4 linked regions of the Elephas maximus indicus genome follow. Each later gene encodes a partner of the first gene's protein in a complex. Links are inferred from orthologs where the notes say so. Each region holds a gene or a part of one and is shown on either strand. Other genes may lie near its edges.

What was found. Proteins that work in one complex are often made in the same cells at the same time.
Region 2: TAF1C (region 1) and POLR1B share a complex: the UniProt entries of both Homo sapiens proteins name them as parts of the pol I pre-initiation complex. The link is inferred for Elephas maximus indicus from reciprocal best matches to the Homo sapiens genes TAF1C and POLR1B.
Region 3: TAF1C (region 1) and TAF1B share a complex: the UniProt entries of both Homo sapiens proteins name them as parts of the transcription factor SL1/TIF-IB complex. The link is inferred for Elephas maximus indicus from reciprocal best matches to the Homo sapiens genes TAF1C and TAF1B.
Region 4: TAF1C (region 1) and POLR2H share a complex: the UniProt entries of both Homo sapiens proteins name them as parts of the pol I pre-initiation complex. The link is inferred for Elephas maximus indicus from reciprocal best matches to the Homo sapiens genes TAF1C and POLR2H.

Annotation. Positions count from the first base shown.
Region 1 is NC_064839.1:50,141,687-50,149,112, reverse strand, and holds the start of TAF1C (TATA box-binding protein-associated factor RNA polymerase I subunit C), read left to right. Parts: upstream 1-4,418; 5' UTR 4,419-4,560; intron 4,561-7,143; 5' UTR 7,144-7,144; coding exon 7,145-7,282; intron 7,283-7,426. UniProt on the Homo sapiens protein: Component of the transcription factor SL1/TIF-IB complex, which is involved in the assembly of the PIC (pre-initiation complex) during RNA polymerase I-dependent transcription.
Region 2 is NC_064835.1:41,808,807-41,816,336, forward strand, and holds the start of POLR1B (DNA-directed RNA polymerase I subunit RPA2), read left to right. Parts: upstream 1-4,519; 5' UTR 4,520-4,588; coding exon 4,589-4,765; intron 4,766-7,530. UniProt on the Homo sapiens protein: Catalytic core component of RNA polymerase I (Pol I), a DNA-dependent RNA polymerase which synthesizes ribosomal RNA precursors using the four ribonucleoside triphosphates as substrates.
Region 3 is NC_064830.1:19,313,913-19,321,419, forward strand, and holds the start of TAF1B (TATA box-binding protein-associated factor RNA polymerase I subunit B), read left to right. Parts: upstream 1-4,496; 5' UTR 4,497-4,546; coding exon 4,547-4,564; intron 4,565-6,317; coding exon 6,318-6,416; intron 6,417-7,507. UniProt on the Homo sapiens protein: Component of RNA polymerase I core factor complex that acts as a GTF2B/TFIIB-like factor and plays a key role in multiple steps during transcription initiation such as pre-initiation complex (PIC) assembly and postpolymerase recruitment events in polymerase I (Pol I) transcription.
Region 4 is NC_064819.1:30,728,474-30,736,338, forward strand, and holds the start of POLR2H (DNA-directed RNA polymerases I, II, and III subunit RPABC3), read right to left. Parts: upstream 3,012-7,865; 5' UTR 2,310-3,011; coding exon 2,237-2,309; intron 939-2,236; coding exon 855-938; intron 773-854; coding exon 679-772; intron 143-678; coding exon 59-142; intron 1-58. Other genes in the region: CLCN2 (chloride channel protein 2), read left to right, coding at 4,305-4,373, 6,647-6,803, 6,948-7,079, 7,346-7,474, 7,559-7,692, 7,792-7,865. UniProt on the Homo sapiens protein: DNA-dependent RNA polymerase catalyzes the transcription of DNA into RNA using the four ribonucleoside triphosphates as substrates.

The sequences.
Region 1 (7,426 bases):
GAACACCAAAGACACAAGGAAAATATTAGCCCAAGAGACAGAAAGGGCCACATAAACCAGAGACTCCATCAGCCTGAGATGAGAAGAACTAGATGGTGCCATCTACCACCAGTGACCACCCTGACAAGAGCATAAGACAGAGAGTCCCTGATGGAGTAGGAGAAAAGCGGGGTGCAGAACTCAAATTCTAGTAAAAAAATCAGACTTAATGGTCTGACTGAGACTGCAGGGACTCCAGAAGACATGGCCCCTGGACTCTGTTAGCCCAGAACTGAAACTATTCCCAAAGTGAACTCTTCAGACAGAGATTAGACTGAACTATAAGACATAAATGGAAACCCTGGTGGCGCAGTGGTTAAGTGCTGCAGCTGCTAACCGAAGGGCTGGCAGTTTGAATCTGCCAGGCGCTCCTTGGAAACTCTATGGGGCAGGTCTACTCTGTCCTGTAGGGTCGCTACGAGTCGGAATTGATTCGACGGCACTGGCTTTGGGTATAAGACATAAAATGATACTCGTGAAGAGAGTGCTTCTTAGCCCAAGTAGACACATGAGACTAAATGGGTAGCTCCTGTCCGGAGGCGAAATGAGAGGGCAGAGAGGGACAGCAGCTGGTTGAATGGACACAGAAAATCCAAAGTAGAAAGAAGGAGTGTGCTGTCACGTTACTGGGAGAGCAAGTAGGGCCACATAACAATGTGTGTATAAACTTTTGTATGAGAAGCTAACTTGAACTATAAACTTTCACTTACAGCACAACTAAAAAAAAAAAAAAAAAGCCTTGACAATGCCAACAAACAGATGTAAAAGGGATGCTGGCATTAGAAAACCACCGCTTTGCAGCCAGCAAAAATGAGATCTGGTGAGGCTCATCGTGTTTGCTAAAGTCACTAAGTAACAGCGTGTGATGTGGAACAGGATACTTCCATGCTCTCCAAATACCTCCCCTTTAAACCCAAGGGGGAAGCAAAGGCAGCTGGCAGACATCGCCCTAATCAAGCATCACAGCTGGCACCACCTGCTTCAGGACCAACCAAAATCACATGCCTCCTGGTGTGATGTCCTTCGAGGGACATGACACCATTTGTGTGCATTCCCATCCATAATGCAGAACTTGAACCTAATCCCAAGGAAACAGACAAACCCAAAACTGGCCTGCTCTTCAAAGCATGAATGTCATGAAAGACAAAGACTGTGAAGAATTGTTCCAGATCACAGGGGATTCAAGAGGTGGGACAGCGAAGTGTAACATGCGATGCTGGACTGAGAACAAATGGCCATGAACAGCATTATTGGGACAAATTTCAATGTGAGTGGTAATTAAATAACAGTGTTATTAGCAATGAAGCCCTGGTGGTGCAGTGGTAAAGACCTCGGCTGCTAACCAAAAGGTCAGCAGTTCGAATCCATCAGGCACTCCTTGGAAACCCTATGGGGCAGTTTTACTCTGCTTATAGCGTTGCTTTGAGTCAGAATCAACTTGACAGCAACAGGTGATTGCATCAATGTTGGATTTCTGCAATTTGATAATTATACTATAGTTATATAAGAGAATATCCTTGTTCTTAAGGAAACACAATCTGAGGTGTTTAGGGATAAAGGGGCATGCGGGTCTATGATTAACTTCCAAATTACTTGAAAAAATAATGTGAGTATTTATATATAGATAAACATATAGAGGAGGAGAGACGCACAAAGCAAATGTGTTAAATGCTAACTGATGACTCTGGGTGACGAGTTTACGGGAGTTCTTCATACTATCATCGAAATTAAAAAGTTAATGATTAAAAACCATGCCTTCCCATGTAAACGGTGGAAACAAGCACCATCAATGGCATACCACTCACTCTCTGTGTGACCTCTCTGGCCTCAGTCTCCCCGTCTGTAAAACGATGCTAACAGTACCGTACCTACCTCAAGAGTCCTTGTGAGGACTGGATGAGTTATCATGCCTGAAGCCCTTCAAACAGTGCCTAGCACATCACCCAGGACTCTTTACTGTTATATATCATTGTCTCTTATTGAGTGGTTCATATGGGGTTCTCTTACCAGCTGCTGTCAAGTCAATTCCAACTCATGGTAACCCCGTGTGTGTCAGAGTAGAATTGCACTCCACAGGATCTTCATGGCTGATTTTTCTTAAGTCGATTACCAGGCCTTTCTTCCAAGGTGCCTCTGGGTGAACTTGAACCTTCAACCTTTTGGTTAGCGACCAAACACACTAACTGTCTGCATCACCCAGGGACTCCTTGGGGTTCTCTTAGAAGGTTTTATAATGTTGCCACGGCTTGAGGAATGATTCCCTTACTACCTCCTTAAAACCTCCTTAGACAGTGACAATGTGCTGGCTTAAGGTTGGTAGCCTGGCCTTAGGACCTGGTGTATTGCTCTATGTGTATCTGTTTGTATTGGTGAGCTGGTGGTTCTGTTGAGGAAGGAGAAAAGACATGGGTAATGATTATACTTCTATGGTGTCACCCTCCTTCAAATATCTTCAATGCTGGCACAGCAAGTGGCATGTAACTGGCCCTCAAAAAAGTGTGCTAAGTAGGTAGCTTGGGGCAAGTCCATCAGCCTCCCTGAGCTTTGGATGGGGATCATATTCCTTTGCCATGGCTCTGCCACATAAGATGTCTAATGGTGGCTGGTGTGTAGCTGCTCACAGGAAGGAGAGTCCACCTCAAATGTCCACGCTCTGTGCAGCTCACAGTCCCCCTCTCACTTCGTGTGGGGTCAGGTGGTCATCAGCCGGTCTTCAGAGCACGGAGGCCAGTGTCCACCTTCCCCAACCCCCTCCCCATCACCGAATACCTGGTACCCAGGTGCTCACCTGCCGTTTTATTCTCTCGGAATATCAGCGAGACACCCAGGCTGGCTGCATACTGCGTGAGCAAGTCCACGGCCTTGCCTGGGGGTGGGTTTTTGAGCTGCAGGCTCAGCTGCCCGGCTGCCTTCGGGAAGTCCCCGGCTGCCCCTGCGGGAGAAACAGAGACCCTTGGGGACGTCCCCATCCGTCCCCCAAAGCTCCCGTGCCCAGGCTGCCCTGCCCCCGCTCCGCCCCCAGTCCCAGCCCACCATCCTCTGCCGCTGAAGCCTGGGGCTGCCTGCCACCCTCATCGTCCTCCTTCACGCTGGGGCTGGGTGCGGGCTTCAAGGGATCTTGGCCCAGACTACTCGAGGGCCGCCAAGGGATGGGCCCGGGACTGATCTGCAACGACGCTGCCAGGCGGGGCTTCCTGCGAACACTGTCCGCGCTGGCCGGAGAGGCCATGTCTGAACCCGAGCTCCAGAAGGCGCACTGCGCCGGATCTCGCACTGAGCGAGCACTTTAACATACACCGGCAGCTCCCGCGTGGGCAGCACGCGGTTGGCAACGCATCTCGAGCCCCGCCCCTCTGCCCAACCAATGGAAAGGCTGGTCTCCCAGCAGGGCACCACAAGCTCCGCCCCTGCCACCCAGCCAATGAGAAGGTCTGTCTCCCGGGCAGCTGTAGGAGGGTGCGCACCGTGAGCCCCTCCCCTGCCTGTCCAGCCAATGGGAAGGTTGATCTTCTGGCCGCTGCCAGGCCAATGGGACGACAGTCTTGGCTGACCTCGGAATTCTCACTTCCGGGTGGGGCCTCTGGAATGGGCTGGGGTGTGGCTCTCCCAGCAGCCCCTTCTCGACCGTTGGGTTGTCCTAGGGATCAAAGACCAGGAAAGAGCGGCTGGCGGCCTTGGGGAGTTCATCCTTACATCCTGGCTGCTACCATAAACACCCCCCCAACACACCCCACCATACCACCCCTCCGTCAGCAGCTTAACCCTTCTGAGCCAGGGGTCCTCATCTGGTAAATGAAAAACCCACTGCTATGGAGTCAACTCCGACTCAGCGACCCTATAAGACAGAGTAGAGCTGCCCCATAGGGTTTCCGAGGCTGCAAATCTTTATGGGAACAAATTGCCATGCCTTTCTCCCACGAAGTGGCTGGTGAGTTTGAACCCCTGACTTTTTGGTTACCAGTGAGCTAATGACTGTGCCGCCAGGACTCCTCTGATGACTGAAGGTGCTTATAATTGTAACAGCCCCACGGGATCATTAGATCTAAAATTTAAAACTATTGTAGGTCTTCCTTAAGCTAGGAGTCCTTGGGTGGTGCAAACAGCAAATGAGGCCCAACAGTAGGTGCACAGTAAATGTATACTGAATTAATTAAATAGAATAACCATATCAAACATGAGTTTGGTAAAGCAGATGTGGGATTCGAACGCAGTTCTGACTGGCCTTCACTATTGGAACTTCAGGGTCCCCACCTCCCACGGTACTTCCTGCGCCCCATTCCCTCTCCACCCGGGAGGTGGCGCTCACCGACGCCCGTGAGGCCGAGCTGGGAGGCGGGACTTCCTGTTACCGAGGCGGCACTTCCGGCCAGTCCCGGAAAATTATTAATTCACGCTGTGGGCGCGGTCCCGTTGAACTCCCTGGCGCGTGGGTGCAAATTTTGGGCTCTCTCGCGGGACAGGGGTCAGGAGAGCGTTGCGCAGGGGCCCATTTCCCAGACGAGTACGCCGAGGCCAGGGCACGTAAGTGCGCGCACCGCCCAGACGGGAGGAGAGAGCGCTGCCCACTGGGCGGCGGGAGACCGGGACTTGGGTCCGACAGGAGAGCTCGAATTTACCCGGCGGGCGGGCGCTCAGGCCCCAAGTTGTGTGGCTTTGGGACAAGTCACTTAACTATCTGCGGAATGGGTGATTAGCAGCTGCCGGTAGCTCACGGAGTAGTGCAGATTCTACAAATTGTTAAGTGTCGTAGCAGCTGCCTGGCGCATGTAGCACTAGATATGAGGCCTCTGCTCTTGTCGGGTTGAAAATGTGGGGCCTGGAGGTGGAGTGGGAAGAGGTCGTCGAGGAGGCTGGATTAGGGATATGCGTGAGGACATGGTCGAGTAGGAGATGCACGAGGAGAGACCGTTAGTATCCCCTTTACCATTTTCTGCGACTTTCTTGCTGTTCCCGGTCTTGGATTCAGCCAGACCTGTCCTATTTCTTCAGCCTTGGACGTAGGAAGGGCATGGAAAGCTTAGAGGGAGGGCGGGAAGCCGGCCAGGGGTGGTCGAGGCTGCTTGCCCAGGCAAGTCCTGGATTCCACCAGCGCTCTCAGTTGGCTTGGGTTTTTTGAGGCTGTTTGATTCTTTTCTCTCATTCATTCATTCCTAGATTTGTTTCTACAACTTATATGTACTGATTGTTAAACCCATTGCTGTCAAGTCGATTCTGACTCATAGTGACCCTATAGCAGAGAGTAGAACTGCCCCTATAGGGTTTCCAAGGAGTAGCTGGTGAATTTGAGCTGCCGACCTTTTGGTTAGTAGCCTAGCCTTTAACCACTCTGCCACCAGGGATACGGACTGATTATTACCAAGTGGCAAATACCAAGGCACTGAGAATATATGCACTTCATTTATCACAAGACCTATTAGAGCAGAATCAAACAGCCTCCTCCTTATGTATTTAACCACAAATTGCTGTGAATGCCCTAGAGGAAGGGTACAAGGTGTTGTGGGAGAAGGGTAGGATTGGAGAAACTGGGAGAGGATTCCCTGAGTAGGAGATCATTGACTCCAAATCTGAGTGCTGGGACTCAGTCTAAGCAGAGGAACAGTGTGCAAAGGCCCTGTGGTGAGAAGAGGCACGGTGAAGAACCAAAAGTAGATCAGCGTGGCTGGAGCCCAGGGAACGGAGAAATGAGCTGGAGACATTTTCTGTCTGCTGGGTTATGGGGGATGCAGCCACCTTGGAGAGGCTTGGGTGCCCCTTGACCTACAGAAGCTAGAGCTTCTGTAAAGATCCTGTAAAAATTCACTGAGCACCTCCTAGATCCCTTCCTCTCTCCTCTCCTACATGGGAAAGAAAATCATAGCAGCAGCCAGACATCAGGGACTCAGGAATGAATGGACACAGTTCATGTCCTCAGAAAGTTTGCAGTCTAGTGGAGAGACAAGCCAGACACATAAATCACAATTAGGATGAGGCTGATACGTGCTCTGAGAAACATTCATTTAGCTGGCAAGTATTTATATAGAACCTACTATGTGATAGGCAGTGTGTGGTGCTGAGAGTACCTGGATGTGCAGAGGTTACAGCATAAACTGATAAAACGCAATGGTGGTTCCAAGGGAAAAGATTTCTGCTTACTGGACTCTAATGTGAACGTTTGGTTTTGGATGCACAAGGATGCAGTGGTTCAGAGCACAGACTTTGACTCGCATGGGGGATCAAGCCTTGACTCTGGCACTATGAGCTGTTGACCTTGGATAAGTTACTGTCTAACATGCCTCAGTTTCCTGAACTCCACAATAGGGCCAATAGAAAGAAGTGTGAAGCTTATAATGCCATGTCTGGAGATGTGGGGCTCAGTAAGTGAGCACTGCCGTCCTTTTGCGTTTAATAAAAGAGGCAGGGGTGACCTAGCTGCTCTTCGTATTCTAGAGCACTTTGTATTCCCAAAACCCTTTGACATAAATTTATCTTTCTTCAACATAGTCAATCAGTGTGTTTTCTGGGAGGCCCTGTGCTTGACAGTGGGAAGATAGGTGGACAAGACTAAGTCCCTGGCTTTGGGGGAACTTGAGCCAAGCCTTGGGAGTTAGGGCTGCAAACTGCGTAATCATATCATAATGCAGGCTGATAAGAGCTGTGATAGAAACATCCCTCGCCGCTTGTTGGATGGGCATCCCTTAACGCTCTCCTCACGTGATCTGTTTTCACTACATGCCTCCTCGTTTCTCAAACTTGCCGAGCACTTTTCCGCCCAGGGCTTTTGCACTCGCTGTTTGTTTTCTTCGCAGTTGTCTGCGTGGCTCTTTCCCTCGTTAGATTCTAGCTTTGCTCGCCCAGCACCTCCTCAATGAGGCTGTCTTTGGTACCATTGCTAAAACCGCAGCTTCAGCCCATTGCTGTCTCCCCACTTGTGGTTGGCTGGTTTGTCTTAACGTGGCACTCATTGCTACCCAGTGTTAGGCTACGTATTCGTTTGTTTTTATTATCGGTGTCCCTAAAGAAAGCGGACTCCTATTAGGGCACTGTCACTCTCCCAGGAGCCCTGGAAGCCATTGTTGAATTCTAGTCTTGGGGAGGCCAGCGTGACTTGTGGTTCTTGTTTTCCAGGATGGACTTCCCCAGCTCTCTCCGCCCCACGCTGTTTATGAGCGGCCCCCTTGGTCTGAGCAGTGTCCCCAATCTGTCCTTTATGTGCAGCTGGAGAGATGCACTGACCCTGCCAGAGTCCCAGCCCCAGAGTGCTGAGGTAAGGATGACAGGAAGGAGCCCCGGCAGCTCCAGGGCGGGCCCCTTGGTCCCTCTTTTATTGCCCTCACACCACCTGGCAGGGGTGCAGAATGGGGTGGCATTAGCACAAATCAGCAAAGACACAGGCTGAGCCACAATCCTC
Region 2 (7,530 bases), on another chromosome or scaffold:
GTTATCGTTGATTGTCACAATGGGGGCATGCTATAGGTTTGTTTTTTTCGGTTTTATCTAGAGTTTAAGGCAGAGGGTTGGTGAAAGCGGAAGAAGTAAACTTCATTTAGTTGGCCAAGGAAAGGAACACACTGGGACCAAGATGGCTCCTGAACAGGCATAGGGGTTTATATGGGGAGGAAACAGAGTAGGGGTGGCCTTTTCTTCAGGGCATGTTCAGGGGCTTGGTCCATCAGGATTGGTAGCCAGCTCCGGTGATGATCCCGATGTCATGGGGTCGTTGCAGTCTCACTGGGCCTTGAAGGAGGGAAGTGGTGGTTTAGCTCCTCCCATCTGCCATCCTGCCACTGCCTGCCTCATACCAGCAACTAGTGGGTAGAAGCCAGAGATGGTGCTAAACACGCTACAGTGCCCAGAACAGCCCCACAACTAAGACTTATTGGGTCCAAAAAATATCAATAGTGCTGATGCTGAGAAACCCTTGGACTAAAGTGTTAGCAAGGAAGGTGTTAGCAAGATCAGCTAATGTTTCAAAACTAGAAAGAGAGAGAGAGGTGCTGCTTCAGACATTAGACATCTGGGAAGTTTGAGATTCTATCTGATATCTAGGAAAGGCGCTGGGTAGAGAGCTAAATACTATATACTTACCTGGAGCCCCAGTGGCACAGTGGATAAGAGCTTGGCTGCAAACCAAAAGGTCAGCAGTTTGAATCCACCAGTCGCTTCTTGGAAACCCTTTGGGGCAGCTCTACTGTGGAGTTGGAATTGACTCGAAAGCAATGGGTTTGGTTTTTTTGGTTTTATCTGGAGTTCAAGGCAGAGGGTGGGACTCCAACGGCATAGGAGGGGCTGATAACCTCATTAGGGAGTGAAGGAAGCAAGAGAAGAGAAAAAGGCTAGGGCTGAGCCTAGAGACACTGCAGTATTCAAAGGTCAGGAAGGCAGTGGAGACTAGAAGGCAGTAGGAGAAAAACCAGGATAGAGTGCTGTTTTGTAAGAAAGTGAAGAAAGCGTTCAAGAAGGAAGGAATGGTTAACTGAATTAAATGCTGCTGAAAGGTCAAGATGGAGGTCACTTGTAAAGAGCAGTCCAAGTGGAACGGTGAGGTGGGGTGGATTGAAGGGTGTGGGGGAGGTGACAAAGGATGGGTGAGGAGACAATGAGGGTGGTTGACCCTTTAAAGATTTTTGTTGTGTTCTTTTTTTGTTGAGTTCTTTTTTGCTTTTTTTAAAGGTAAGGACCCTGGGTGGTACAAGTGGTATGAGTCCGACTACTAACCAAAATGTTGGTGGTTCAAACTCACCCAGTGGCACCTCGAAAGAAAGGCCTGGTGATCTTCCATAAAGATTACAGCCAAGAAAACCCTATGGAACTTAGTTCTACTCTTTAACACTTGGGATTGCCATGAGTCGGAATGGACTCAACAGCCGCAGGTTTACATATGCTATGGGAATGATTGCTCCTGCCATAATCCCCTGGTTCACCTGCCCTCTGGGAGTCCCTAAGTAGGAGAGTGGGGATGAAGGAGGGGCAGGAGGACACTTTTGGGAGTGGTGGATAAGTTCATTATCTTAATTGTGGTGATGGCTTCATGAGCATATATGTATGTCAGAACTTATCAACTTGTTAGGTGTCATCGAGTAGCTTCCAATTCATGGCGACTGTGGAAAGCAGGCTTAAGAGACATGTTGGGACATGTCTGGACAAGTGTGGCTGTCATCTTCAGTTCAGTCTATAATGAGGGGAGCAGGCCCAAGAGATAAAAAGACATTGTGAGCTTGACTAAGGAAGATAGTCATATCAGGATAACCAGAGAGACTGACAGACTTCATCAAGAAGAAACCCACATAATGGCATCAGACTTTATCATCATCAACCAGATGAGTTCAAAGAGCTCCAACGTGTACAAAAGAAGCAACAGAAGGAGACGACAGTGCTTGGAGCCTTCCCAGAGCCACTCAGTCATACGCTGAGAATTTAGGAAGCAGTGGGCTGCGTCACCTCGCCCGGGCTTACTCCTAAATTCAAGAGATGTTGCTCTCGGTCATACATTGAGAACTAGGCAGCAGTGGGCTGCGGCAGCTCACCTGTGCTTGCTCCTAGCTCAAGAGACGTTGAACGGAACGGTCACCAAGCAGTGGGTAGCGGCAGCTGGTTCGGGCTTACTTGCAGACCTTCCTGCTACAAGGTTCATGAGCCCACAGGGAGCTACGCATGATCCAGAGACCACCGCTAACCATTAAGACTGGAGATCATCACCAACCATTGAACGGCATCATTGAACTGCACCATCTAATTGCTGTCCTCGCTTGCCGTAAGTTTGACCTGTGTCTTTCATTTCTCCCCTCCTTTGGTTATCGGAAACCCTGGCGGTATAGTGGTTAAGGCTACAGCTGCTAACCAAAGGGTCGGCAGTTCGAATCTGCCAGGCACTCCTTGGAAACTATATGGGGCAGTTCTACCCTGTCCTATAGGGTTGCTATGAGTTGGAATCGACTCAATAGCACTGGGTCTGGTTTTTTGGTTTTTGGTGATCTGAGATCTCTGGCGTCTGGGATAGCCAAGAACCTACTAATGTGTGTTTGTGCTTAATGAATTGAAGAAATTAATGTAAGACCTAAAAAAAACTGTTTAATAAAGACATTGTGGAAAGACACAAATAGTGTGGAGTAGTCTATAAGACTCTTCCTCACCACAGCGACCCTATCTACAACAGAACAAAACGCTGCCCAGTGCTGCCTGGTCCTGCACCATCATCACAATCATTGTTATACTTGAGCCCGCTGTTGCAGCCACTGTGTCAATCATCTCACTGAGGGTCTTCCTCTTTTTCACTGACCCGCTACTTTACCAAGCATGTCCTCCGGGGACTGATCCCTCCTGATAACATGTCTGATATACGTGAGATGTAGTCTCACCATCCTTGCTTCTAAGGAGCAACTACCCTGTTGTCGAGTCAATTCCGACTCATACTGACCCTACAGGACAGAATAGAACTGCCCCACAGAGTTCCCAAGGAGCGCCTGGTGGATTCAAACTGCCGACCTTCTGGTTGGCAGTCAGTGCTCTTAACCACTACACCACCAGGGTTTCCAAAGAGCAACTAGTACACTTTAAATATGTGCAGTTTATTGCATGGCATTATACTTCAAAAACATTTTTTTTAAGGCACCCACAAAACGATGAAGTTGAAAGACATCTGCTAGCATTCCCTGATAGATCCATATTCTGGTGAGATAAATGATTCATACAGATTCAAAAGATCTTAAGGCTGGAAGTCCCCTTGGTGGCCCCCTCCCCACTTTTTCCCTGTAAGGGTTCCCTGCCCACTCCACCCTACCCCACCCTACCCCACCCCACCCCAGCACTCTGGTCCAGGTGATGGTGATACAGATAGGATTAACTGTGCTCGTGGAACAAAAGAGCTGCTAAAAGATTACCAGCTAGAAGTTGGGTAAACAGGAACCACACCCTGTCAACATGAGAAAAGGCTGAAACGACCCAGGAATTACTATCTCCTTCTTAGTGTTTTTTCTAGTCCCTTCCCCCTTTACAGCCTTCCACATGCACAGAACAAAGTGTGACGGCTGTTTAACCTTCCTTATCCCTCCAAAGATGGTGATGTAGTGCCAAAGATCAGTGTGCTTGCCCTATATCCCATAGTAAGTGATGCCAAGGGCTGCCGAGAGGAATCCATCTTGAATATCAGCAGGTACCATTTGGTTTCCAGATGTGCACAGGCAACCTAAGCGCAATCTAATTAACATGCACAGTCATTCTGGGAAGTACCCAACCCTTGAAAGAAGCCCACTAAATATTCATTACTCTATTGTCTCCACCAAACCCATACAAGACCTTGATTGCCTTTTCGAGTCAGTCTGTTAGAGAGGCTTAGATCCTCACTGACTCCCTTTGCTTGACTCAAGCAAAATAAAGCTTGCTGAAAATAAAGTTTGTCTTTCACCTGTATTCTTACTCGGGAAAAGACAAGGACCCTTTGTGTCAGATTGGCAATTGGTAACAGCGGGAGAGGATTGCATGGGCCACCACTGCTCACCGGCCCCCACTGATGGGCCTTCACGACCTAATTTGGGCAGGGAGAGCAGTCAGCCTGCGGAACCACTAATACCTGCCTTTTGGATGAAGCCAAGACACCAACTGGGTGTCGCCCCTGGGTCATAATAATCAGCATCGGTTCAAAAAGCAGACAGGGGAATAGAAGGGAATATTTGAAGACTGCTCTTCTAAGTCCCAATTTGACTGAGGGAGCGAATGAGAGCCAGAGGGTTCCCAGGCCTAATTGGGCGTGGAGCAATTGTCCACCTCCTTGTCTTTAGCAGGGAAGACATGGGTGGGGCAGCGGAAGAGAGGAGAAGAGAAGGGGCGGTCAGGCCACGCTCTAGCTCTGTGAGTTTTAAACCGGCCCCTTCACTCTGCGGTTTTAGTTCCAAGTCGACCCAGCAGAGGTAGAGCCGAGAGCGGACGGAGCACGGAAGAACTACATTTCCCAGCAGGCCGCGGGAGCCGGCCATTCTTCCTGGCGCCCGCAGAGCGGCCCCTGGAGCTCGGCGTGCAGGCGGACGGACACATGGAGCCCGGCGGCCGGTGGCAGAACCTGCCTAGCGGGCCTAGCCTAAAGCACCTGACCGACCCCGCTTACGCGATCCCACGGGAACAGCAAAAGCCAGCGTTGCAGGAGCTGACGCGGGCCCATGTTGAGTCCTTCAACTACGCGGTGCGAGAAGGACTCAGCCATGCAGTGCAGGTGAGCGCGGCGTCCCCCTCGCCGCTTGCCGTTACGAGGTGAAGCTGGAGGTGGGCTGAGAGAAGGGCCGGCGGGCTGGGAGGGAGCGAGGCGCTGCGGCTGGAAGGCGGCGGGCCTGGAGCGCGGGGTGCGGTGGGGTGCGGCGGGTGCGGGTGGGTGCGGGTGGGGCGTGGCGGATGCGGATGGGTGCGTGAGGCGTCCAGCCTGCTGCCGGGGGTCGAGGGCGGCGGGCCGGGCCGGGCCGGGCCGGGCCGGGCCAGCGGTTCCGGAGAAATGGCCGCGAGGTCACCATGTAATCACAAATATGAGCCCCTTGATCGGTTCCCCAGGGAACGCCAGAGAGCAAAACAATGTAAAACGGACGCAGTCCTTTGCCTCGTAAGACCTGGAGCCGAGTCGAGTAGGGAAAAGTGCATTTGTGATTGCTGGGTTTATATGGGATTGCAGACTGTGGTGTTTTGAAAGATTGTGGGTGTTGTGAGAGTGAGGAAGTGACCCGTCTGGGCTTCCCAGCCGTTCTCAACGCTAACTTCTTGGTGTTCCGCGAAGACTTACTTCCAAAGGTTCCGAAACTAGTCGTAGACAGACTGTGAAGTCAGTATACGGTCGTTCTTCAGGTTTTCTCTCAGAGCTTTAAAGAGAAACTACGAGGCACCTGCTCGGATTTGGCAGGTGTTGAGAAAGATGTAAATGAGCCATAAAGGCAAGATTTCTTCTGACCTGTCCAAGAAAATGGGACGTACTTTTGAGTAGAAAGTGTAGTAATAGCTCTCTTAGGTAGCATAGGTGTAACCAGAGTTCAGGTGAGGATGTTGCGGGAAGGTCTCACTGAATTACCATCCCAGTGTCTCCAGGTCCTAGGCCACATAAGAAGAAGGTGGACATGAAAGCCCTCGGGGCCAATACTCTTAACTGCCCTGGCAAGGGGTAGTGTAAGGAACTGTGGCCAGCATAGAAGGTACAGCAAATCTAGGCGTTTGAGGTTAAAGGAAGAGGAGAATGCTTCCCTCCAGGGACGTGAAGGAGCAGAGCCAGCTACTCGGGGAACACTGAACAGGTTGGACTTGTGTTGTCAGGAAAAGGATGGAGAGAATGTGGAGGTCTCTGATTGCCAGTTTCTGATACTTGAACTCTGTTCTGCAAATAATGTGGGAGCCATTAAGGTTTCTTTGAAGATTAAGGCTCCTTAGCCTTTTTGAGGAAGACAATGGGAAATATTTCTGTCGTGCCTGAACTCTTACTGTATCTTGTCTGTGAGAAAATTTTATATATATATATATAGTTAACAATTAGCAGTCTGTGGGTGGCACACATGGTTAAGCGCTCAACTACTAGCCTTAAGGTTGGTGATTTGAAACCACTCAGAGCCACCTGGGAAGACAGTCCTGGCAATCTGCTTCTGAAAGGATCAAACAAACAAAACCAAACCCATTGCTAACAAGTCGATTCCAAACCCCCGTGGAGCAGTTCTATTCTGCACATGTAGGGTCGCCTGGAGTCAAAATCAACGGTTGTATCCAGCCTCTTAGAAGTGCATTCCTGACTTCTGTGAGTCAGAGAGCTGGTAATCTGTTGCGCTGTCTATTCAGCATCTCTAGAGATCGCTAGTGCAGCTGTGGCTTGAGAAAGTGAATCTTTTCTCCCTTCTTTAACAGTCCACCCTTAAGTATGAAATCTATTACAAAATTTATTTTAGAATAAAGTATTCTAAAATAACACCAGCCTTCGATAAAACTTAAAAATTTTGGAAAGTTTTCAAAATTTTTAAATAGACAACAAAAGTGTACTACTTGTATTTCCAAGTCGGCACAAGATCATTCATAATTTCAAAACAACAATTTATTGGATGATAATGAAGTTGCAGAGATTATTGTGAGTACAGCCCAAGGTAACTAGTAAGAGCATGGTAACTTGAGTTAATCTCTGGAAATGCATGTGTTTATGCCTTAAACTCTTTACCTTAGAAAATTTTAGAAATGAGAATACACAAACACACATGCTACTAGCTGCCAGAACGCTGACATCATTACACTTCACGTAGCCTCTGGAAAACTCCACTGTGCTTACATGAGAGAATGCGTGTGAAAAAGACAAATAATGTCCTAGGATTACTATGCAAATAGCTTGGACCTCATGGGCACCCTGAAAGGGTCAGAATACATTTTGAAATCTACTGGTATAAAGAATTAAAAAAAAAAACTCATAGCAACCCTGTAGGACAGAGTAGAACTGCCCCATGGGGTTTTCAAGGAGCAGTTGATGGCAGTGGGTTAATGGGTATCTTAATTATTCTTGTATATCCATGTCTAGAGTAGCATCTCCTACTTGGTGACTGGTAAATTGAACTCACTCGAGGGTGGAGGACCCCCTTTGTATTCTTGGCTCAGTTTTCAGCATTTTCATTATTCTGACATTAAGGCCAGGAAGTTGTTCATACTTAATAGAAAAAACTAAAAGTAAAAGTCATAAACTGAGTCTTAACCTGAACTTGTCTCTGCCAAGTGGATAGAATAAATGGATTGTTGTGTGCTGTCAGGTCGATTCTGACTCATAGCCTCCCTATATGACAGGGTAGAACTGCCCCGTTGGGTTTTCTAGGCTGTAATCTTTACGGAAACAGATTGCCAGGCCTTTTCTCCCCCAGAGAAGCTGGTGATTCAAACTGCCAACCTTTCAGTTACCAGCCGAGCGCTTAACCATTACACCACCAGGGCTTCTTATAAATGGATTAAACCCACTGCCGCTGAGTCGATTCTGACTCATCG
Region 3 (7,507 bases), on another chromosome or scaffold:
CCAATGTGGTGAGTAGTGTCTGGGGTCCTATAAGCTTGTGAGTGGCCATCTAAGATACAATTTTTGGTCTCTACTTGTTTAGAACAAAAGAGAAAAAAGGAAACCAAAGACTCAGAGAACAAAGCAGTCTACACAAACCATGGCCTCATCTTTCATGAGACCAGAAGAATTAGATGGTGCCCGGCTACCAGTAATGATCATTCTGATCAGGGCCACAATAGATGGACCCTGATAGAACTGGAGAAAATTGTGGAACAGAACTCAAATTCTTAAAAAGTCTAGATTCACTGGACCAGTTGACACTAGAGGACTTCCTGAGACGATCACCCTGAGATAGTCTTTAATCCTTAAACCAAAGTTAACCCTATAGGTCACCTTTTAGCTAAATAACAGATTGACTTCTAAAATAAAGGACATCACCTGTGAGTAATGAACTCCTTTAAAAAAAAAACTAAATGGTGAAAAATTACACTAAAGCAAAGATGAGAAGTTAAGGGGGCAGGGAAACTAGACTACTCAAAATGGTATAACCAGAATGAGAACGATGATACATTGTAAAAAAATGTAACCAATATCCCTGAATAATGTGTATAGAAATGGGAACCTAACTTGCTGTGTAAACTTTCACCTTGAACACAATAAAATATTATTTAAAAATACAGATAGGCTATTTAAATACTTTACATGTACATAAAATTCTTACAAAGTCATTCATTCATTCAACAAAGGTTTATTAAAAATCATGTGAGCTAAGCAATGTTATAGACCCTGGGCATACAACGATAAATAAAAAGACAGAAGTCCCTGATCTCAAGGAGCTTATAGTCTAGACCAATACATTAATTTCTGTTCAGTTTAATATTTATCACTCTCCCTATTCCACAAACAGCCAGTCCAATATTTCAACATTTTAAATCAGGGCTGGCCTTGAAAATAGGAGGCTTACAACTGAAAATTTTTACATGGCAAAACTTAATGCTTGGCAGGTGGATAACATTTTTTGGAAGGAGTTTGAAGCTGTACAGAATCAAGCCTTGGTGAATGACATGGGTGATGCAACTGCAAAGGAGAATTTATCTAGTTTCACTTTAAAATAGGAGACCTGGGGCATAGTGGTTAAGAGCTCAGCTGCTAACCAAAAGGTTGGCAGTTCAAATCCACCAGCCACTCCTTGGAAACCCTGATGGGGCAGTTCTACCCTGTCCTGTAGGGTCGCTAAGAGTTGGAATGGACTCCACAGCAATGGGTGGTCTTTTTTTATATTAAAATAAGGAGTCAGTCCCACTGGACTAGGTGTTTCTTGAGGGCAGTGAATTTGTCTTGTTTACCTTTCATTCCCTAAGAGCTGGAAGAGTGTTTGGCATATGCTGGGTGTTTAATGAATCTTTGTGAAATAAATGAATTGACAAGTGAATGTGAAGTGAGAGAAGAGCCACTCCGTTGACTTATAACTTTAAATATCATCTGGTCAGAGATAAGGTCCTTGAGTGCTGAAAACGGTTTGTGTTTGACTACCAGTGGAAGGGCTGGCAGTTTGAACGTGCCCAATAGGGCTGCTGAGGAAAGGCCTGGCAATCTGCTTCTGTAAAGATTCCAGAAACCAAAACCCATTGCCATTGAGCTGATTCCGATTCATAGCAACCCTCTATGACAGAGCAGAACTACCCTATAGGGTTTCCAAGGCTTTGAATTTTTATGGAAATAGACTGCCACATCTTTCTCCCACAGAGTGGCTGGTGGGTTCAAACCACTGACCTTTCAGTTAGCAGCTAAGCACTTAACCAACCACTGTGCCACCAAGGCCCCTTTCTGTAAAGACTACAGCCCAAAAAAAAAAAAAAAAAAAAACCCATGGAGCTCAGTTCTACTTTGTAACACACGGAGTCCCCATGAGTCAGAATTGACTCGATGGCAACAGATTTGCTTTTTTTGGTTTAGTCAGAAATAACTCCCAAATGTATATCTCCAACCCAAAACTTAAGGAGTTCCTGGGTGGTGCAAATAGTTAAGTACTCAACTACTAGCTGAAAGTTTGGTGGTTCGAACCTACCCAGAGGCACCTCAGAAGACAGGCCTGGTGATCTCCTTCTGAAGGGTCACAGCCTTAAAAACACCGTGGAGCAGTTCCACTTTGGACACATGGGGTCACCATGAGTTGGAACTGACTTGACAACAACTAGCAACAATCCAAAACTTTCCTCCGAATCCTAAACTCCTATGTCCAATTGCCTTCTCACTCTACCTGGATGTCTTATAAGCATCTCTAACTTAAAACTGCCAAAATCAAATTCCTTATTCCTCCCCTATCCTACTCCCAAACTATTGCAACCACAATCCATCCCAACTCAGTTGATGATGGCTCCACCCTTCTAGCTGGTAAAGTCAAAAATCTTAAAGTCATCCTTGCCTCTTTTCTTTCTCTCACAGCCCACTTCCAGGCCATCAGAATATCCTGTTGGTTTTACTTTCAAAGTACTATCTGTCCATAATCTGTCTACTTCTCACTGTCTCCACTGCTTCCATCTTGTTCATGCTACTATTATATCTTACCTGGACTGTTGCAATAGTCAGCTAACTTCTCTCTCCACCCCTTCCTTTGCCCTGCCCTCCTCCCCAGCACTCTATTTTTCCCACAACAGCCAGAGTGATTAAACATAAGTCAGATCATGTGACTCCTCCAATGACTTCCCTAAGTTTTCCATATAAAAGTTGAAGACCTTACGAAGGCATTGTTTTCGACACTCCCTTTAGCTCACCAATCCAGCCATTCACTGACCTTCTTCATGATCCTTAAACGACATGACACAAGGCTCAGGACTCAGGGCCTTGGTACTCACTGCTACCTCTGCCTTGGAACACTGTTCTCAACATGGCTCTTCCTCCCTTGTCTCAAATATTACCTTTTCGGTGAGATCTTTCTTGACTACCCCATTTAAAATTGAAACTACCTATCTGTCAGTTTTAGTACTATGGTAGCTCCTGTGTTGCTGTGATAATGGAAGCTATCCCACTAGTCTTTCAAATACCAGCAGGGTCACTCATAGTGGGCAGGTTCAGCAGAGCTTGCAGACTAAGACAGACTTGGAAGAAAGGCCTGCTGATCTACTTCTGAAAAACCGGCCAATGAATACAGTATGGATCACAACAGAACATTGTTTGACTCACTTGTGTGGACATGTCACCGGGAGGGATCAATCGCTGGAGGGGGATATCACGTTTGGTGAAGTAGAGGGTCAGGGATGACGCAGGACCAGCAGCTTTTCCTTCTGTTGTACGTTAAGTTGTCAGAGTCGACTCCCTGCAGTTATCTATCTTAGCACTCCCATTCTCCTTTCCTGCTTTATCGTTCTTCTTGGCACTCACCACCTTTTAACATATCATATATTTTTTTCTTATTTATTTTTTTCTCTCCCCACAAGAATATAATCTATGAAGGCAGGGACTTTTGTTTTTTTCCTTCACTGCTAAATCCCCAGGTCCTAAAACAGTGCCTGTTGAATGAAAGAACTGAATGAATAAATCAAGGAATAAATGTGTTCAATGTATGAACAATAATCGCTGAACGTATTGAGCTCTTACTATGGCTCAGTTATAAGGGATTCACAGGCAACATCTAATTTTTGCAGAGGAGGAAACTGAGAAACAAGCAGAAAAGATGTGATTAGAAACGCAGGTCTGACTCAGCAACCTGTGTTCTTTCTTTTCTTCCAAATCCCGATGCCTGTGAATAAGAAAGACAAGAAGAATTGACGCAGTTCAGTTACGGTTTTGGCGAGTAATATTGAATATACCATGAACTGCCCGAAGAATGAACAAATCCGTCTTGGAAGAAGTATAGCCAGACTGTTCGTTAGAAGCAAGGATGGTGAGACTTGTCTCGGGTACTTTGAACATGTTACCAAGCGGGATCAGTCCCTGGAGATAGACATCATGCTTGGTCAAGTAGAGGGTCAGCGAAAAACAGGAAGACCCTCGGTGAGGTGGATTGACACAGTGGCTGCAACAATGAGCTTTAGAAGCATAATAGCAATTGTGAGTATGGCGCAGGACCCAAGAGTGTTTCGTTCTGTTGTACACAGGGTGGCTATGACTTGGAACCAACTCGACGGCACCTAACGCTGTACACACTCCTGTGCCAGTAAGAGGTGGAGAAAGCCAGTCGTGGAACTCAAACGGTTCGAGTCCATGTTCTGGAACGTGGCACCCCACTGCCTCCCTTGGCAGCCTGAATAAATCAGTGGGTCTTGGAGTGAAAGGCCGTCAAAACAAAGCATGACTGAATTAGTTCAGCAGTAGGCACCGCTCAGTTTCTTACTGGTTCATACCAAGCCTAGGTCAAGGGGTGCTCTCAAATGGGGGCTTTGGGTTCCTTCCTTCCGGAGCGAACAGGGGTTTCACCTGGGCCGAAGGCGCCGGAATCCAATGTCAGGGGGTTCTGTTTCCGGCCGGAGGGCTCCTCTCGTGGCTCCCGGAAGCTGCGCTCGCTGCCGGGGTAACGGGCCTTTGCGGCGGGGGCGGCGGCCGTAGGGGCAGGAGCGGAGCAGTTATGGACCTAGACGAGGCGGTAAGGAGGCCGTTGTAGCCAATAGGCTACGGAAAGCTGGGGGAGGAGGGGAGTGAGGCTGAGGAGAAGGGGTTGGAGGACGCTGACTAGCTGTGAGGGAAGCCGTTGGAAGAAGGAGGGCGGATTGGAAGGATGCAGAACGGGGAAACGGGATGGGGTTGACCGGCAGTCCCGGGGAGCGTTCGTGCGCGTTTTTGGAAAAAGGCTGGAGTGTCTGGCTTGGTGAGGTTGTGGGTGAAGGGAGGGCGGTGTGCTTGTCGATGTGGGTGTATTACGGAGGAGGGCGAAGTTGTGGGTTTTGCGAGGTGGCCACCCACTGGCTCCTCTTCGCCCGACGGGACCACCCCCAAGCTCCCTCTGATGCTGGGATGGGTGAGGGCGGGGCAGCGGATGGAACCAGAATGCACCCAGGTAACCCCGGCCGGTCCCTCTGGGACTCCTGCCACAGCCTGGTGCCGTGACTCCAAATTCTAGTTTTGGAACACCCCAAGGTCATGACAGTTGAAAACGTTATCAAGTTGTTAAAATAAATTTTGCGTTCATTTTTGACCTGCTACATAAAATGCAGCAACTTTTTAAGGGTATTACGGGAGGATGAGGGAATTAAACCAAACCAAACCCGTTGCCGTCGAGTCGATTCCGACTCATAGCAACTGTATAGGACAGAGTAGAACTGCCCCATGGAGTTGCCAAGGGACAGCTGGTGGATTTGAACTGCTGACCTTTTGGTCAGCAGCCGAGATCTTAACCACTGAGCCACCAGGGCTACATTTAGATAAAGGATATTAAGTCAAACACCAAAGACATTGGGAATAAGTAATTTAGTGTCAGAGAATTAGGCCTAAGGGAAACCCTGGTGGCTTAGTGGTTAAGTGCTACGGCTGCTAACCAAACGGTTGGCAGTTCAAATCCGCCAGGCGCTTCTTGGAAACTCTATGGAGCAGTTCTACTTTGTCCTATGGGGTCGCTATGAGTCGGAATCGACATGATGGCACTGGGTTTGGTTTTTTGGTTTGGATGTACCCAAGCAGTACGGTGATGTTGTTAGGTGCCGTTGAGTCGCTTCCGACTCATGGTGATCCCTGTGCACAACAGAAGGAAACACTGGCTGGTCCTGCACCATCCTCACAATTGTTACGCCTTCATCGCAGTAGATGTGCAATAACTGTTCTGTAAATGCTAGATTAAGAAAATTAATTATTATAACTCATCAATGGCCTGTTATACTCTAAGTAGGGATCACATCTGTTTTGCTCACCGACTCCCCAGCACCTAGTAAAATACTGGCACATACGTAGCTGGTACTCATTATGTTGCTGAATAATACATCAGAACTTGAAGTACCCTAATAAACACCTAGCTCCTTTGTGGTGGGTATGTGTTTGTAGTGTCCTGGAGGAAGTTCCCAATGATATGCTACTTCTGTTTTTGAAGTCTTCTCTATACTTAATTTTTGTCTTCTTTTTTCTTACAGCATTTTCGGGAAGTTGTATTTACTTTTCTCTTTGTTTCCAATTTTACTCCTACCACCTTTTCTTCTTTTTTCCCTCACGGCCAAGTTTAGAAAATTTTCCCTAATAGTTTAAAGTGGTTCCATACTGATCAAGAGACTGAACCGTTATTGTACTTATTTGCAAATAATCTATATTCTGTGATAATGACAGGGAATACTCTAAGCAGAAATACAAGGTTTAGGTACAATGTATTGAATGTGGTTTGAGAGTAACACCTCTTTTATCCTCCTCTCCTCTAGAAAGAGTTCAAAGAACGCTGTACTCAGTGTGCTGCCGTCTCTTGGGGTCTTACTGATGAAGGCAAATATTATTGTACTTCTTGCCACAATGTTACAGAAGTAAGTAATAGATATAATTTTTGAATTTATGTTTTAAAAATACATTTTCAACCTAATAGTAGCATAATCCCCAAAGAATTGATGTATTTTTCTCACTCATGCAATGTCACAGTTCCAAGAATGTAAAGTCTTCAAGTGCTTACAAATAGGTTAAGGAATTTGTAAATTAGACTTAAGATGAGTTTTTGAAATTATGGTGAGCCACATTTAAAATTGATTTCCTGATTTAAACTGTGGTTTAAGGGGAAATAATTAAAATTGGACTTAGAAGACGATGCATTTCTTTATATTAGTTAATACTTATTTAAGAGTTTTTAACGTGCCAAGATAGTGTAGAGGTTTGGGGCAGGGGATGCATTAGAAAAATTGAAAACCGTTGAGAGTATTGGAAATTATGCTTCGTTATCATTTTACCTTTGTACAGTACTTCACAGATTACAAAATGTTTTCTTATCCATTATATCATTTCCACCTTGTAATAACCTGTGAGATACACTGTTATGCCTATCCATAGATGGGGCAAGTAGGCCTCACAGGGGTTGAGTGCGTTTGCCAAAATCACACAAGTATAATGTGTCTGAGCCAGGACTTGAATCTGAGTCGTTTGACTCCAGTGTTCTTTTAACCCCAGCATACCTGCCTCTTAATATAGAAATTGTCACACTGGTCTGTGTAACCTTGGTAAAATGAGGCTACTTTTACGCTGGAAGTGCTAGGTCCTTTTCTGATTACCACACGTTAAGGGCAATAGAACCAAAATAATCATGTGTGGACAACCTGCTGTTGGACAGACTAAACATGCCAGCACTCTTCAGACTGCACAGAGCCATGATGGAACACGTGTAACAAATATTGCCATCGCTAAGTGGGCTTATGAAAGGCAAATTTGGAATAAGACTTCTGCTTCTGGCCAAAATGGAGTAACAGGGACCAGATTTACCTGCTGTCTTACTTTCCTGGTGCGGCTGTAACACAGATACCACAAGTGGGTGGCCTTAAAGAATAGAATTTTATTTTCTCACAGTTCTGGAGGCTAACAGTCCAAGTCAGGGTCCCCAGCCATGCTGATCCCATCTTTGTCAGTATCCCAG
Region 4 (7,865 bases), on another chromosome or scaffold:
CCCACTTCTCAGAACAGGGAGGGGGGAAAAAGGATTCTCACGAGACCACAGAACTTACAGGCGTGTTGCTGCTTCCGTAGAAGTTTCATCGCCCTCAATCCTATACACCTTCCCATACATTACATACTCGAATTGGTCAGCCCTGTGGAATAACAGTGGCAGTTATTCTTAATGGACAGTAATGAACAACAAAAGGCCCTTTAAAAATGGCAACTGGTAAGTAAGTGCCAGTATTTTAAAAACAGGCCCTTTACAACTACGATGCCGTCTAGTCCTTGGCAACATTATGACCTGGACCTGACCATCTCTATTTTACTGATGAGAAAACTCAGGCTCAAGGAGGTTACTCAGCAAATTAGAGGTGGAGCTGAAATTTGAACTCAGTGGCGCTCCAAAGCCTTGCCACACACCAAGCTCCCTCCCAAGACACAAGGTCCACATAACCTAGGTCACTCAGTGGTTAGTCCCTGGGCCTTCAAAGAACTGCAACTCAGAAGCTTGTAATCATGCCTGTCGACAAATGCCCAGTTGTCTGAATTAATTAAGTGTAGCACATTCCTTATTACTCAGATTCTGTTAATAATCACTTATTCCAATAATTAAATAAGAATCTTTCTATACCGCTTCTCTGCTTAAGTCTTCCACGTATATTTCAAGCATTCTCTCCTCCACTCTCACCTGGAAGGCCGGTCATCTGTGGGGTTGTATTCACCATCATCCAGTGTACCGTCTTCATACAAGGTACTGGCTATGACCAACCGGAACTTGTCACCTGAAAATAATGGCAACATCTGAAGGTGAAGACAAGTGAAATGGCAAAAAGCCCCTTGCTATGGTCTGTGTTCGGCACGTACCCAAGTCGACGGGGTAAATCTGAATGTTCACGTCTAAGATGAGATCCATCTTGAATGATTCACTCTCACAATGCAGTCGAGACACTGGCAGGAAGAGAGAAAGAGTGGCAAAGGGAACTGCCAGGTCCAGGGCAGACCTCGCTTTGGGGATTACACGTAACAGAACACTCAATCTAACCAGCCTGCATCTACCAGTCTCTCACCTACGCTTATATAAGGGCAAACTCAATCAGAACTACATATGCAAAAAGGAAAACCGTTTCAAGGGAACAGAATGCCCAAACATGACTAACATCACGGAACAATTTATATAGAAATTGTCAAATGGGAATGTAGTAAACTGTGTAAACCATCATCAAATATAAAATAAAGTATTACTAAAAAAAAAGGGGGGGGGAGAGAAAACCAGAAAGGTACTCTGGTAGGGAATAATATCCAGGTTAAAGGTCTGCAGTTCAAATCCACCAGCAGCACCTTGGAAACTCAATGGGGCAGTTCTACTCTGTCCTACAGGGTCACTATGAGTCAGAATCCACACCAGGGCAATGGTTTTTTTTGTTTGCTTGTTTGTTTTAGCAAGAAACAACCACCCAAAAGTTTAGTCTTTCTGTGCTAAGCCTTACATTGAGGGGCTTATCAGGATGTTTAAGAACCAGTATCTGCCTGAAAGCACATCTCAGTCTCCAGGCAAAGGAAGGGACATGGGGGAGAAACGATTATTGATCAATGACAGAATAAAGAATTAACGTGAGTTAATCCTAACTCAGAGACTGCTTCTTAAAGAGTTAAAAAAAAAAAAAAAAGCTTTGCCCTTGAGTCCATTCCAACTCATAGCGACCCTATAGGACCGAGTAGAACTGCTCCAAAGGGTTTCCAAGGAGTGTATACGGTGGATTCCAACTGCCGAACTTTTGGTTAACAGCTGTAGCTCTTACCCACTGGACCTCCAGGATCTCCAAAGGCAATACAAAATTACAGGCTCTGACGTCAGATCATTCGCTGTTCAGCCTTGGGCGGGCTACTGAACCTCTCAGAGCAAAACGGGGAAGGCATCCCACACCTCATGGGGACTGTTGAGAGGAGCAATTAAGACAAGGGGTGTGTAGGGTGCACAGTCGTGTCTTACGGAGTAGGTGGCGACTGTTATTACGAAAGACGCCCCGGAGTTTGCCAGGACCAGGACAAAAAGCCACCCAGCCACTGGGCACAGCATGTGTGAAACAGGGAAAGCTCCAAGTCTCAGTCTTCTCGTCTATAAACGTTTCCTGAAGGAGGTCCCAACATCAGGGCCTGCAGGTAGGGGCAGGCCACGTAAGCTGGACGACGTGGGGCCCGGAGGCGTGACCCCTTTCCCCCAAACCGCCCCTACAGACCTTACGTACCTCGGTCAAATTTCTTCCCCTCTGGGTCAATGTCTTTCACATCGAAAATATCTTCAAACAGGATGCCTGCCATAGTGAGGGGGGCGCTGAAGGGTGCTGAGCGCGCGACCGAGACGGCGGGGGGGAATACACACAACCCCTCGCGTGGGTTAGAAGCCAAGGCAAAGGGAGAGCGCCCAGAGAGCGGCCGGGAGGTAGCGGGACAGCACACGCGCAAGGGCTTGCAGTACCGGCCCCACTTCCGCCACCTCCCTCTCGGGGTATGTTAACTTCCGCCCCGAGTGATTGCAGCCGAGACGCTTCTGTACTGAGGGCGGGTCTCGGGTCCAGGTGATTCCGCCCCTGGGCGGGAACGCAATAGATCCCGCCTCCGGTCGAAGTGGCACGGATTCTCGCGCTCAGGGGCTCCAATGCGCCCTCTTCAGAGGCGGGGTCCTCAAGAATGTAATGCATGGGGCCTATCCCAGGCTAGGACCTTGATCCTTGGCCCAGAGAAGCCCGGCCCTAGCCCTACCCTTTCGGTCCGCGTGCCCGCCGAGGACACAGTCCGGGCTGGGACGGGCAGAGCAGAGCCCCGGCCTCAGCGTAGGAGCGGGGCAGGGCGCAGTGCCCAGCCACTCCAGCTGGCCCTGAGGCCCCCCGGCCCCAGGCCGGCTTGGCCCTGCTGGATGTCACCCGAGCCGGATCCGTCCATTTTGGGAATTTGCCAAGATGTCACTATGGGGAAGAGGAAAGCCCGCCGTGCCCTCTCCTCCGGCACAGCGTCCGCCCCCCACGGCCCTTGTTCCCTGGGCCCTGCTCCCTTCCCTACACCCCGCCTCAGCCTGGCACTAGCCCCCGCAGCCTGGTACTGCCCATTCCTCCACCACTGCCCTGTCCCTCTGGACACTCATTCTGGCACTGGCCACCCCTTCAGATACCAGCTCTTCCAGTTTCCTGGGCAGTGCCCCCTCCCCCCGCGAACCGCCTCTGCCTCCACGTGCCCCTTCACCACACACACACGCACACTATCTCTGCCCGTTTCCTGGGCACTGCCGTCTCCGCTCTAGCTACCCTACCCCTGACGCTGCCCATCCAGTCTGTGCTCACCCCACCCTCTGCCCTATCCTTCCCCGAACTCTGATAGGGAACGCAGAGCCCCAGCAAGCCGTTCCCCCGTGGCAGCGAGACATCAGCAGCAACTCGGATTTCTCCTTGGGCCCTGCCAAGGAGAAGCAACCTCTGCCCCTACACGCCCGCCTCCCAGGAGTGGCCTCTCAGGCGCCCAGACCTCCCTTCCCTCGGGCCTCGCCTCTCCCCTCCCCACCTCCACCCCCGCACAACCCCAGGCCAGGTTCCTCCAGGTGCACCTCCCTGGGGAAGCCCGGAGGAAGGGAAAAAGAGACCGAGGGTCTCAGCAACTAGCATCCTCCTGTCCCCGCCCCTTCTGGGCCCAGAATTCCTCTCCGAGTCCCCGCAGCTTTGCTCTCACCCCCGGCGGCGCAGAGAGGCCGCTCCCGGCCCGTCTCAGCCGCTTGCCCCTACCGAGGAGAGAGAGGGTGCCGCTCCAGAGAAAAGAGTTGAGCCCCAAGAGTCCGATTTAGACGGCTCTGCAGCCCCGGACCCCGAGCTCGACTGAGCTCCGGCGTCCCTGGCCCAAGGAGCAGCGTACCCCGCCGGCCTCTCCACAGGCCAACGGACCCGCCCCCGCCGTGGCCCCGGGCGCCGTCTCTGTCCCCGGCCTCGGCGGGAAGGGGACGCGTTCTCGCTAGGCCCCAGCGCCCCCTGCCGCCTCTCGGAGCCTGGAAGTGGCCCCAAAGCAGACCCCGGCCGGGCTGGGCCGGCCCCTCAGGATGGGCGGGCGGGCGGAGCGCGCAGAGAACACCGCCCTCGGCCCGCCCGCCGGGGAGAGTACAAGAGCGGGAGGCTGCGCTCACGGCGCCCGCTCGGGACCTGCTGCACTCTGCGCTCGGCAGCTCGGGCTGCGGGCCGGGTCCGGGTCCGGGTCCGGAGCGAGCTCTGCGGACCAGGAGCCGAGTGCCGGCCGGAGCCCGAGCTTCAGCGGCAGACGAGAGGGCAGTGCGCGGAGATGGCGGCCGGGGCGGTGGCGGCAGAGGCAGGGATGGAGCCGCGGGCGCTGCAGTACGAGCAGACCCTGGTGAGTGAAGCGGTGCCCGGCCACGAGCGTGCGCTCCAGGACCGCGGCTCCACGTTACCCTCGGAAGCGCTGGGAGCGGGGCCTACCTGAACCCCACCCAACCTTCTCAGCTGGGGAAACTGAGGCTCGGGGGTCTAAGAAGCTGAAGGGCCAAAGGGGCCGAAAGCTGCTTGCAGGTTTCTGGCCGAGGCTGGGGGCCTGAAGAAGACAAGGATACCAGGTACTTGTCCCAGGTGCCTTTCTTTCACGACACACACACAGACACACACGTTTTCTTCCTCCTTCCCCTCACCACCTAAGCCCAAGCCTCAGCGCCTTCACTCCGCCCCTCATGACCACTCACACGCTTGAACTTTCTCTCCCAGTGTCCCCACTGTCCAAGACAGCCCTTGTGTTCCCACTATGTGCATGGCACGGTGACAGAGACAAGGGGGTGTTGGGACATAATCAGACCCAAACCCAGCCCCAGCCCTACCCCTGAGGCTTTGCAAACCAGCATTAGCAGGAACCCTTCTGCCCACTCTGGAAAAAGAAAAAAAAAAAGGTGGCCTGCCACCTTGGGGGACAGGCGCTTTGGGTCTGGGAATTGGGACTTTTGTCCATGCTGACTCTAGGTATCCAGTCCCCACCTTCCCCCAGGGTGTCCCTTGACCTCATTAGAAGCAGGGGTCCTGGGGCTCTGAGCTGACTCATGGCCTCCACTGTCATTTAGTGTGTGAGAAGGCATTTGCCTCTCATTGTCACTGGGGCAGGGGACCAAGCCCCAGGGAAGGCAATAGTCTCTTCATCTGCTTGGCCTGGAATTTGCCCAGGAAGGTGGCAGGAAGGGAACATCTCAGGGAGAAGGGGGGCTAGGCTGTAACTCAGGCTGGGAGGTGCCCAGTTAGGAGAGTCACTATATAAAACAGGATGGCAGGGGGAGGTGGCAGGAGTGGTGCTGGAGTGAGGGGAAGGGAATGAGACGTCGGGATAGGGCAAGAGGTTTCAATCTGCTCAGGCTGATAGGGACAGTGGTCAAGGCGGAGGCCAACTGGGCACCTGCTTCTGAAATGGAGTCTGTCTCCAGCCACGTCTCCACCTCCTCAGGCTTCCCCCCCTCCACCTCTGGAATGAGCTAGCGCTGAGGGTCAAATGCTCTCCCCGGGTATTCTCTCTCCAGCCTCTCCCCCTTCTGCTCCTGATTCCTTTGTCTTTCTCTCACATACTGATTCCCACCTCCTACTCTATCTGCCTCTTTATGAGCAGCTTTCTCTCTGTTCTCCTCCGTGCTTCCTCCCCATTCCTGTCTCCTTTCTCTTCTCCATCCCTTCTTCTCACCTTTCTTTTCCTGCTTTCTCCTCTTTCTTTGCTGTGTGCTTCGCCTTCCTCTCCTAGCTCTCTGTCTCTCACCCTCTCTGTCTCTATCTTTCCCTCCCTCTCCCCTCCCCACCCCAGCCCCAACAGGAGCCCTTTGTGTCCCGAAGCTGGGCGAGTGGCTGCCAGAATCTACTCCTCCCCACCCCCCCGACACATGCCTAGTTTGGCAGGTCTAGCCATGGCTCTGGCGCGGCAACTCTCCGACTTTCCCTTGTCCTGTCCCATCGCCCCAGCATCCAGTAACAGCCCAGCCACCAGCAGCTCTGGTGTCCCCCAAACCGCCACTGGGCTCAGGGCAGCTCCAGAATGGGGCTGAGGCCACCAAACACTCTCCACCCATCCTGAGAGCAGCTGGCTGACAGGCTGGTGGGGGTTGGGGTGGGGAATAGGGACAAGGGGATTAAGGGGGGTGGGAGGGTGCAGCAGAGTCAGTCACAGGCCAGAGGCCCAGCAAGAACGTGATAAGGATTGGGGCCCCGCATGTTCCTAGGCCCAACTCTGAGCTGCCCCCAGCTCCATGAGGCCGTTATCGTTGACCTTAAGCCCTTGACCATCCCTTATTCCCTGACCTTCCCTCCTCCCACTTTCAGACTCTGTGCCTTAGGTTTTTCAGTCTTTTCCTCCTCTGGGGCCTTCCCTCCTACTCCCCCAAAGTGCCCCACCCCCAAGGCCTGTGAGAAGGGGACTGATTATTCTGCCACCCCCAGAGCTGTGTACCTTGGCTGTCCCCATCGCTCCAGCCAAGACAGCCCTCACAGCCTGAGTGTGCATTGTTCCCACACCTCAAGCCAGAGTGGGAACTGTGGGCTCAAGAGGAGCTATGCAATGTGGAGGCTGGGAAGAGGGGATGTGAGGCCCCAGGATCACTCCCCACACAGCCCACATCTGCTAATGTCCCACCTTCTCCATTGCTCCAGATGTATGGCCGATACACTCAGGACCTTGGGGCCTTTGCCAAAGAAGAAGCTGCTCGGATCCGCTTGGGAGGGCCTGAGCCCCGGAGGGGCCCCTCCTCCCCTCGGACTTCCCCAGAACTCCTGGAATATGGACAGAACCGTTGCACTGGGTGCCGCAGTGAGAACCAGTTGGGCTGGGCTGGGCTGGGCTGGGCTGGGCTGGAAGAGGTGGACGCCATTAGAGCCACCCATGGGCAAGGTAGGTTAGAAGGGTAGGCGCCCCTTGGTTCCAGCCTCTCACCCTTCCCTTTCCTGCTCCCAGTCTGCTCCGTCCGCTGCCACAAGTTCCTGGTGTCCAGGGTCGGTGAAGACTGGATCTTCCTGGTCCTGCTGGGACTCCTTATGGCACTGGTCAGCTGGATCATGGACTATGCTATTGCTGCCTGTCTGCAAGGTGAGGACAAGAACTGGCAGGGGCCACCCTGCTTCCGCTATGCCACACTTGTCCAGGTGTCTTAGCCACTTGGCCATTGACCACTTCCTTCTCTCACTGAGCCTCCTTCCTATACTGGTCTTTGTCCCAGTGAGTGCCCTCTAGGGCCCCTTCCCACTGCCTGAGCCCAGGCTCTGTCTGATATTCCCTGGGACAACTCTTCACATGTCCCAGTGCCCCGGCAAGGGTGGGCATCGGGAGCCCAGCAGCATGTCTTCTTTCCACAGCTCAGCAGTGGATGTCCCGGGGCTTGAACACCAACATCTTGCTCCAGTACCTGGCCTGGGTCACCTACCCCATCGTCCTGATCACTTTCTCAGCAGGATTTACACAGATCCTGGCTCCTCAGGCTGTCGGTACAATAGGAGAGAAGGGGAGGGCAGAGGGGGACCCCTGAAAAGAACACCTCAGATGACTCTCCTGGGGATGTACCTCTCCAGGGTCTGGCATCCCCGAGATGAAGACCATCTTGCGGGGAGTGGTGCTGAAGGAATACCTCACTCTCAAGACGTTTGTAGCCAAGGTCATCGGGCTGACCTGTGCCCTGGGCAGTGGCATGCCACTCGGCAAAGAGGTGACTGCAGGCTGGGGGATAATGGAGCCCCTCCCCAGTGGGAGAATAGCCAGGCCAAGGTGGGCCTCTACTCCACTCACCATCTGCCCCCTCCCCCAGGGCCCTTTTGTGCATATCGCGAGCATGTGTGCCGCCTTGCTCAGCAAGTTCCTCTCCCTCTTTGGGGGCATCTA